Tribolium castaneum: one gene and its partner. The protein of the gene in region 1 purifies or fractionates together with the protein of each later gene. This does not show direct contact. Links are inferred from orthologs where the notes say so. Each region holds a gene or a part of one and is shown on either strand. Other genes may lie near its edges. The genes, in order: CycB and Cdk1.

What was found.
Region 2: the proteins of CycB (region 1) and Cdk1 purify together in Drosophila melanogaster (affinity purification with western blotting; 8 studies listed by BioGRID, with this or other methods). This does not show direct contact. The link is inferred for Tribolium castaneum from reciprocal best matches to the Drosophila melanogaster genes CycB and Cdk1.

What each region holds. Positions count from the first base shown.
Region 1 is NC_087396.1:19,035,942-19,040,337, forward strand, and holds the start of CycB (G2/mitotic-specific cyclin-B), read left to right. Parts: upstream 1-1,564; 5' UTR 1,565-1,723; intron 1,724-4,221; exon of another isoform or gene 4,222-4,232; coding exon 4,233-4,396. Other genes in the region: collagen alpha-3(IX) chain, read right to left, coding at 550-752, 807-974, 1,037-1,138, 1,215-1,316, 1,392-1,446. UniProt on the Drosophila melanogaster protein: Essential for the control of the cell cycle at the G2/M (mitosis) transition.
Region 2 is NC_087401.1:17,534,604-17,538,117, reverse strand, and holds Cdk1 (cyclin-dependent kinase 1), read left to right. Parts: upstream 1-1,626; 5' UTR 1,627-1,834; coding exon 1,835-2,508; intron 2,509-2,565; coding exon 2,566-2,812; 3' UTR 2,813-2,879; downstream 2,880-3,514. Other genes in the region: CCT6 (T-complex protein 1 subunit zeta), read left to right, coding at 1-208, 1,002-1,153, 1,204-1,419; transmembrane protein 53, read right to left, coding at 3,130-3,291, 3,340-3,468. UniProt on the Drosophila melanogaster protein: Plays a key role in the control of the eukaryotic cell cycle. Required for entry into S-phase and mitosis.

The DNA of each region.
Region 1 (4,396 bases):
AATTATTTCAAAAACTAAGCAAAAATGACAAAAAACAACAAAACATCATTAAAAATTACATCAAAAATGCAAAAAATACAGGTGCTCTATAGTCAGGACTGTCAGGAGGTTAGTATCTACGGCAGATGTAAAAAATATAATTTTCAAACATTTAAAGATCAATAATAGACTTATTCTAATCGCTGGGACACTCTGTATGTAAGCATTTGCATGGTCAATTGTTTTATGAAACAGGCCCCAGTTCATGATTTGTAGCAAATAAAAAAATAAATTGAATGAAGTAAATACTGTTTTATATTTCTTTATTATTATTTATTAGCTTATTATCATTCCATAGTATGTACATATTGTTTTGATACGTTCCTCTGTTTCTACAATTATTGATTGTTGTTAATAACATATTTCGGCAAAGTATCTTTGTTACTTACAACAGGAATAGGAACGCTTGTCATTAACTTAATATTAATACATTTAAACAAAAATAATCAGTGCTAAGCTAAATCGATAACAGAGTGAACACATGGAATAAGGTTTATCTAAATTATCTAATTACGGCCCTTTATCATTTCCCCCAGACCTAGCAGCCATTGCCGCATAGTACTGGTAGTTTTGGAGATTATTACAAAATTCGCAGTATCCTGGAGCCCCTTGTGGCCCAGGTGTACCTCTTAAACCAGGTGGACCCGGTCTTCCCGGTTCTCCCCTATCACCTGTACTTCCCTGTAACCCAACACCTGGAGGTCCCGGAGGACCTACAACGCACAAATTGACCCAATTTATTCACAACTCAAAAAACTTCAACAAACCTGGCAGCCCCCTAGGCCCCATTGGCCCTTCTATTCCAACTCCTTCGGGCCCTCTGTCACCCTTCTCGCCCCTTTCTCCCGGCAAACCTATCGAGCCTGGAGACCCTGCCGGTCCCGGCAGCCCCATGAAGCCCCTTTCTCCGGGTAAACCGGGTGGTCCTATGTCACCTTTAATATGCAAAAATATAGCTTTTGTCGTTTTTTGCGTTCTTTTGTGCATTGAAGCTAACCTGGGATACCGGGGGCTCCTGATCGTCCAGATGGGCCGGTTCGAGTCAAGCCAGGAGGCCCCGGTGGCCCCCGTAACCCAAGTATTAGTTCAGCGTGTCTATCTGCATGCAATTGCATTATTAGTTAATGGAAATGCAGTGAAATGTGATGGGTGTGCTAAAAATAATCAGGCAGTACCTGGTGGACCTTGGACACCTGGGGGGCCCGGCCGACCGGGTCGGGAGTGACCCGGAGGACCGGGGGGTCCGATCAGAGTTGCAGATAACTCGTTTAGCTGGTCTGATAACGATAAGTTTTTAATTTGGCAGAATTTTACAATTTAAATAATTCAAGAAAATTATTAAGTGGTTTTACCTCGTAACACTGCCGCACATATATCGCGCACCTCCGCCTCCGTGAAACTCTTGCCCTGAAAATAATTATAATTTATAACAAATAATTCCTGATTATGGATCTTGAACAGTTTTTGAATTTGGCGCGTGCAATTCAAGAAAGCGCGGTGGTAGCAGCGACCAATCACAAACGCTCTGAGAAATTTAAATGTCCATTGCTCGTTTGTCGACCATTTGACATGACAACGTTGCTGCTTGCATCCACACCGGAAATTTTTATAAAAGTGAAAAGGGTGACGTGAAATCTATTCCTTTCTATACCCAGTGTTTTATAATTTTTACAATTTACACAAGGTGAGTCCTGTTTCATTCATTATTTGGCGTTTCTTTCGATTTCATTTAAATGACAGACGGTTGCAGCTTGTAACGGTCATTTTTCAAACAGCATTTATCGTCAAACTTTTTATGAGATTTTATTTAAAGGGCAATCTCGTGACTAAATCCGTCTCGTTTACATTTTACTAATGTGGGGAATGATTGCAGGCGGATGATTTTAAAAGTGAATATCTAATGTGGCATTTAAATTTGTTTCCAAATTTCTCTAATAATACGAATTAACTGAGCCCTGTTCTACAAATATTTTTTGCAACTTTGTACTTTGTAAAAATTGTAAACTCTATCTAAAGTTAATGTGTTCCACCAATTTTCTCACCCGTTTTACAGATTTTTGCAAAGTGTGCATAAAGTGCAAAGTTACAAAGTCGTTTCTCAAAGATTTCCTCTGAAATGAAAGAGTTTTCATGATAAACCTTTAAATAGATTGAAAAATTAAAAAAATAAATTGTTTTTTTTTTTTCATTTTATTTATTATTTTTTTTTTATAATTGAAGCGTTGAAATATCAAAGGGACTAAGTGCCAAATTAAAATTTTTATTCAAAGAAAACTTCTTCTAAACATGCAGTGACACTTACAAGTAACACAACTCAACGCAAATTTATCGTAGTAGATTCTTTGTAACATTATTCTCCATAGCACATACTTTTTTCTATGACACAAAATAAATTTTCATAATAAAATTAATGTTTTTGTTACTTTTGTAAAATAAAATAACTTATTAGTATTTTAAAGGAGCTCAATTCTCACCTAACTGATCAGTCATAGTGCCCAATTTATATGAATTTTATACCTTACTTTAGATCAGTGTTTCCCAACCGGTGGTTAGCAAACCCCCGGGGGTTCGCGGTGTGTATAAAGGGGATTCACCAAAAAAGGTATTATAATGGCAGAATTTTTAAACGTTAACGTAAAAAATTACAAAACAATAAATTTAAATAAACAAGATTAACTATCAGTTTTCTGTTATTTATTTGAAATGAAATGGGTTTGAAGTTATAGCAAGTTTTTCTTCAGCCTTATTTTAAAAAAATTGCATTTTTTTAATTCACTTATTATTTATTATTAATTTATTTTTGTTATTCCTTTGTAAAGTGAGATGAATTCAGCTACCTTTATTTAATTGCTTTCTGTCTCTCATAATTATTTTGCATTTTCGTTACTTTTTTGTAAATTGCTTAATTGTTTAATTGCAGTGTAAATTTAACACCTTTTGTTTTCAGATTTACATCAAAAATTCTTATCGATAGGGAATTTATCTTTGTATTTGTGTTTTCGTATTTAGATTTTTTATAGGTTTTTTTTGCTAACACCTAACATCATTTTTCAAAATAAATCAAACACTGGATCTGACTTTCTTTACTAAAATTACTACGAATGAATTGGCTATTATGGTGCCAGCGTAAGAACTATTTAACATGTCTGTTTAAAAAATTTCTCTTACATAATATTAACTGCACTCTGTTACTAATTTTAAAATAAAAAATTTAAAATATACTAATTATGTATTAGTTTTTTTTTTAATTCATATTTATTAAGATTCATTCAGTTCACAATGTGCAACAAGGAAAATAAATAGCAATAGCAATAGCAGACACCGATGGGGAATCTTTAATTGTCTGTAGTGGAGAGGTGTCCACTAATGGCAGGTGGAAATTCTAATATAGTTTTCGTTACGTTCCTACAAAAATGTCCGTTGTGAAAAGGTGTCCGTTATTCGGAGGTGTCCGTTAAGAGAGGTTTTACTGTATCTATATACAAGAGGTTTGCCATTTTCTGTCGGATTTTAGAAGGAGTTGGGAACCACTGCTTTGGACTAATGGAAATTTTATTTCTTTTTTTTTCGTGTTTGCTTCATCCACATTCAAAATAAGTAGCATTGTAAAGGCCTATTGGGAAGGCTTCTAATAATAAAAGAAAAATCATATCGTCCCATTTCAAAAATTCTGTGATAATGTGTGTAGTTACGTCAAATTTGAGATCAATTAAAATACTAAATTACCTGTTTTCACATTTTTAATTTTGGAAAAAAAGTAATATGAATTTTATGTCACTTTTTAGTGACCAAAAAAAATTTTTACGTGTTTCATTCATCCATATTCAGAATAAGTAGCACGATGTTAACTGCCTATTAGTAAGGCTTCTAGTTAAGTAATTATACAACAAAAATGATATCGTTCCATTTAGAAAAATCTGTGATGACGTCATGACGCCGCCATATTCGCCGCTATGACTGATCCAGTTAGGTCAATTCGAGCTCAACTAAAATGCTAAGCTCCCTGTATTTGCAGTTTTTTATTTTTGAAAAATAAAAGAATTACAAATTTTATGCGTTACTTTAAACTCACTCTGTATAAAACAATCGATAATGATGACACGAAAATAACCGAAGAGAAGATAGACCTTAGATTTTTTGACTAAAACTTTTAGCACTTTTTTTACATACAAATTTAAAAAGTTTTTTTACAGATGGCCCACCGTGGTATCGTAACGTCGGTCGAAAACCGTGAAAACGCAATGGTCGCCAGACCCATTAAAAACCATTTACCCGCAGGACCGAGCCGACGCCCTGTATTAGCAGACAGTCTCAACCGCTTGGCTAACGAGAAACCTCTTTTAATAAACAGGGCTGA
Region 2 (3,514 bases), on another chromosome or scaffold:
GAATCGCAATTGGGTTATGCTGGAGTTGTCTATGAACATGTTTTGGGCGAAAATAAATATACTTTCGTTGAGGAATGCAAAATACCACAGTCGGTCACCATTCTTATTAAAGGGCCCAATAAACACACTCTCACTCAAATCAAGGATGCTGTGAGGGATGGATTAAGGGCCATCAATAATGCCATAGAGGACAAAGCCTTGATTCCAGGTAATAAAAAGACAAAACTGAATTAAAAAAAAATTAAATTATCCTTTTTATGAGTTTCTACATGGGAATTTTTGCTGAATTTCATCATAAATCTCCCAAAAAATCACCAAATTTGTGTATTTTTTAAATTTTGTAGTCAAGAATTGTAAAAAATCTAAACTATCGTTAAATTTAGGCCGTTTTTCAAGCATATTTGCACAAAACTACAAAATTAAGCCCAGCATTATATTATTTTTGAACTTTTTTTAAGGTTCCAGCGCATTATTTTTCAGTCAGAAACTCACTCATTTCCCGAAATTAACAAAATATCTAGTTGCTTAATGGATGACGTCACAGTCATTTTGTGACGCGTCTTAAAAATGTGCGTTACTAGGCTTTGAAATTGTAAATAGGGGTCAATGACCTGACCTGGCCACACAATTGTTAATTTATTAGACTCACAATGCGTTTTCCGTTTAAAATAGAGCTCAAAAATTGAATTTACGAGTTGCTTCAACTACTCCCATCACCAAAAACCCAACTTCGGTACTTACTTGTCAATGTTGAAAATCGCCGTTTAGATCAACACATCGGAACACTGAAAGTCTTTGAACACTTTTGCACAAACATTTGCACGAAATAACCGATTTAACAGCGATTTTTCCCGAATTTACTAAGCGGTAAGCGGCCATCACGAAATTTGATGCACCGCCAATTGTTTCGCTACCAACCGTACCAATAAAATCACTAAATGTCATAGCGCTTAATTCAAATTGATTTTGCACACAAAACAGTTTTTTGTGATATTTTTCAGGCGCAGGGGCTTTTGAGGTGACCGCCCACAAAGAATTGATGGCTTACAAGGACACCGTTAAAGGAAAATCGCGTCTTGGAATTGGTGCTTACGCGGAAGCCCTTCTTGTAATTCCCAAAGTTTTGGCAACGAATTCTGGTTTCGATGCTCAGGTTTGTGTGATTTTCTCATTGATTGTTTTATAGTTATTTGTTGTTCTTAGGATACTATTGTAAAACTTCAAGAAGAATCTCGTAACAATAAGGAACCAATTGGGCTTGATTTAGCTTCAGGACAACCGATTAATCCGAAAGATGCCGGAATTTTCGATAATTACATCGTGAAGAAACAAATAATTAATTCGTGTTCGGTGATTGCAAGCAATTTATTGTTGGTTGATGAAATAATGAGAGCCGGAATGAGCAGTTTGAAAGGTTAAATGGATTTTTTTTGTCAGTAATTTTATTCACGTATTAATGCTTGATTTTGTAATTATTATACAACAATAATAAAGGATTTTAACACCCATTTTTTGGCCAAAGCTATTATTTGGCGATCGTATAGTAATTTTGTGTGTCTGAAGTTGGTAATGTGTGTCTATTTACGCCAAAAAAAAGACAGGTTATTGTGATTGACGTGAGTGCGATAGAGACGGGGATAATTGTACCCGATTGGTTGGTTCAAAAATCTCCAACGAACTTTCTCCATATTTCTTCAAACGAGCCGTTAAAAGTGTGTAAAAATTAACAAAACTCGTGTGCTTTGAATAAAATATCGTGTTTGTGGTCGTGTAGGCATTGCAATTTGACGTTATAAACGTCATTTTAAGTGGAAAGTTTGGTTATATTGGGGCAATGTCGAAACAGGGGGCCAACATGGATGACTTCCTCAAGATCGAAAAAATTGGTGAAGGCACTTACGGTGTGGTGTACAAGGGCAAAAACAAGAAGACGGGTCAGCTAGTCGCAATGAAAAAAATCCGACTGCAACCCGAAGACGAAGGTGTGCCTTCCACAGCCATTCGCGAAATCTCCCTCCTGAAGGAGCTCACACACCCCAATATAGTCTCCCTGGAAGACGTGATGATGGAAGAGAATCGTCTTTACCTAATTTTTGAATTTTTGTCAATGGACTTAAAGAAGTACCTCGACACCATCCCACAGGGCTCCTACATGGACCCCCAACTCGTCAAAAGCTACCTCTACCAAATCAACGAAGCCATTCTCTTCTGCCACCAAAGACGAGTCCTTCATCGCGACCTTAAGCCCCAAAATCTGCTCATCAACTCCGAAGGGGCTATCAAAGTGGCCGATTTTGGACTAGGGCGCGCCTTTGGGGTCCCGGTTCGCGTTTACACGCACGAAGTTGTCACTTTGTGGTACCGCGCCCCCGAGGTGCTCCTCGGCTCTGCACGTTACTCGTGCCCTATTGATATTTGGTCTCTGGGCTGCATTTTCGCCGAAATGGCCAACAAAAAAGCCCTTTTCCAAGGCGACTCCGAAATCGACCAACTTTTCCGCATTTTTCGGTAATCAAATCATGTAACTATAGAAACGAAAACAACTTGCATTTTTTTTCGATTCAGGGTTTTGAAAACACCAAGCGACGAAATCTGGCCAGGGGTGTCCACATTACCTGAATATAAGGTTACGTTCCCTAATTGGAAATCATGTACTTTGGAAAGTCAGGTAAAAAATATGACTAGCGACGCTATAGATTTGTTGAAACAAATGCTGATTTATGACCCGGCCAAGAGGATTTCGGCCAAAAAAATCGCTTTACATCCGTATTTGCAAAAGGTTGATACGTCAATAAAGCCGATCCTTAAATAAGCGGTTAGGTTTAGGTTTATCGTGTTTAGTATGACTATTTTCTAAATATATTTGTTTAAAAAATCTTTTGTGTTTGAAAACCTCCTTAATACATCATGCACGAGCTGCACGTGTATATTGCTATGGTGATGCGTCAATGTAGCTATGGTAACAGTGAAAGGAAATGCGGGACAGTGGCGCAACATAAAGCAGATCATTTGGGAACATAGTTTTAATGAAACAATTGAAATAAATACATTTTGTGCAATTCAACAACGTCTAGAAAAATAAATTGTACCCTAAAGTTTAATTAAGCGTTGAAATGTTTTTTGTGTGAATTAATTTGTGCCATTTAGGCATTTATTTAAAAAATTGCATACGCTACTCACGTAACTTTCTTTATTTTCGGTGTAGTGTTTAACATGAGGACTTGTTTCGTAACAGAGAGTTGTTACATCGATACCCAGAGATTTTCGATAGTTGGCGAAATATTCAATATCCTTGAAAAAAAAAAAAAGATGATTGGCTACAATAGTTAAGATGGTTACCGTATAAGGAATAAGAATGTCTTTTTTCGAGTAGATAAAATGTTGGGGACAGTTGTTTTTATCATCTTTCAAGTTTTCTAACGGGTTCGATTGGAACGTTTTTTTCGGACTGATGTAATTGCTAACAACCTACAATAATAAATCAAGGAATATTTAAAGTTTTTGGTGCGAACGC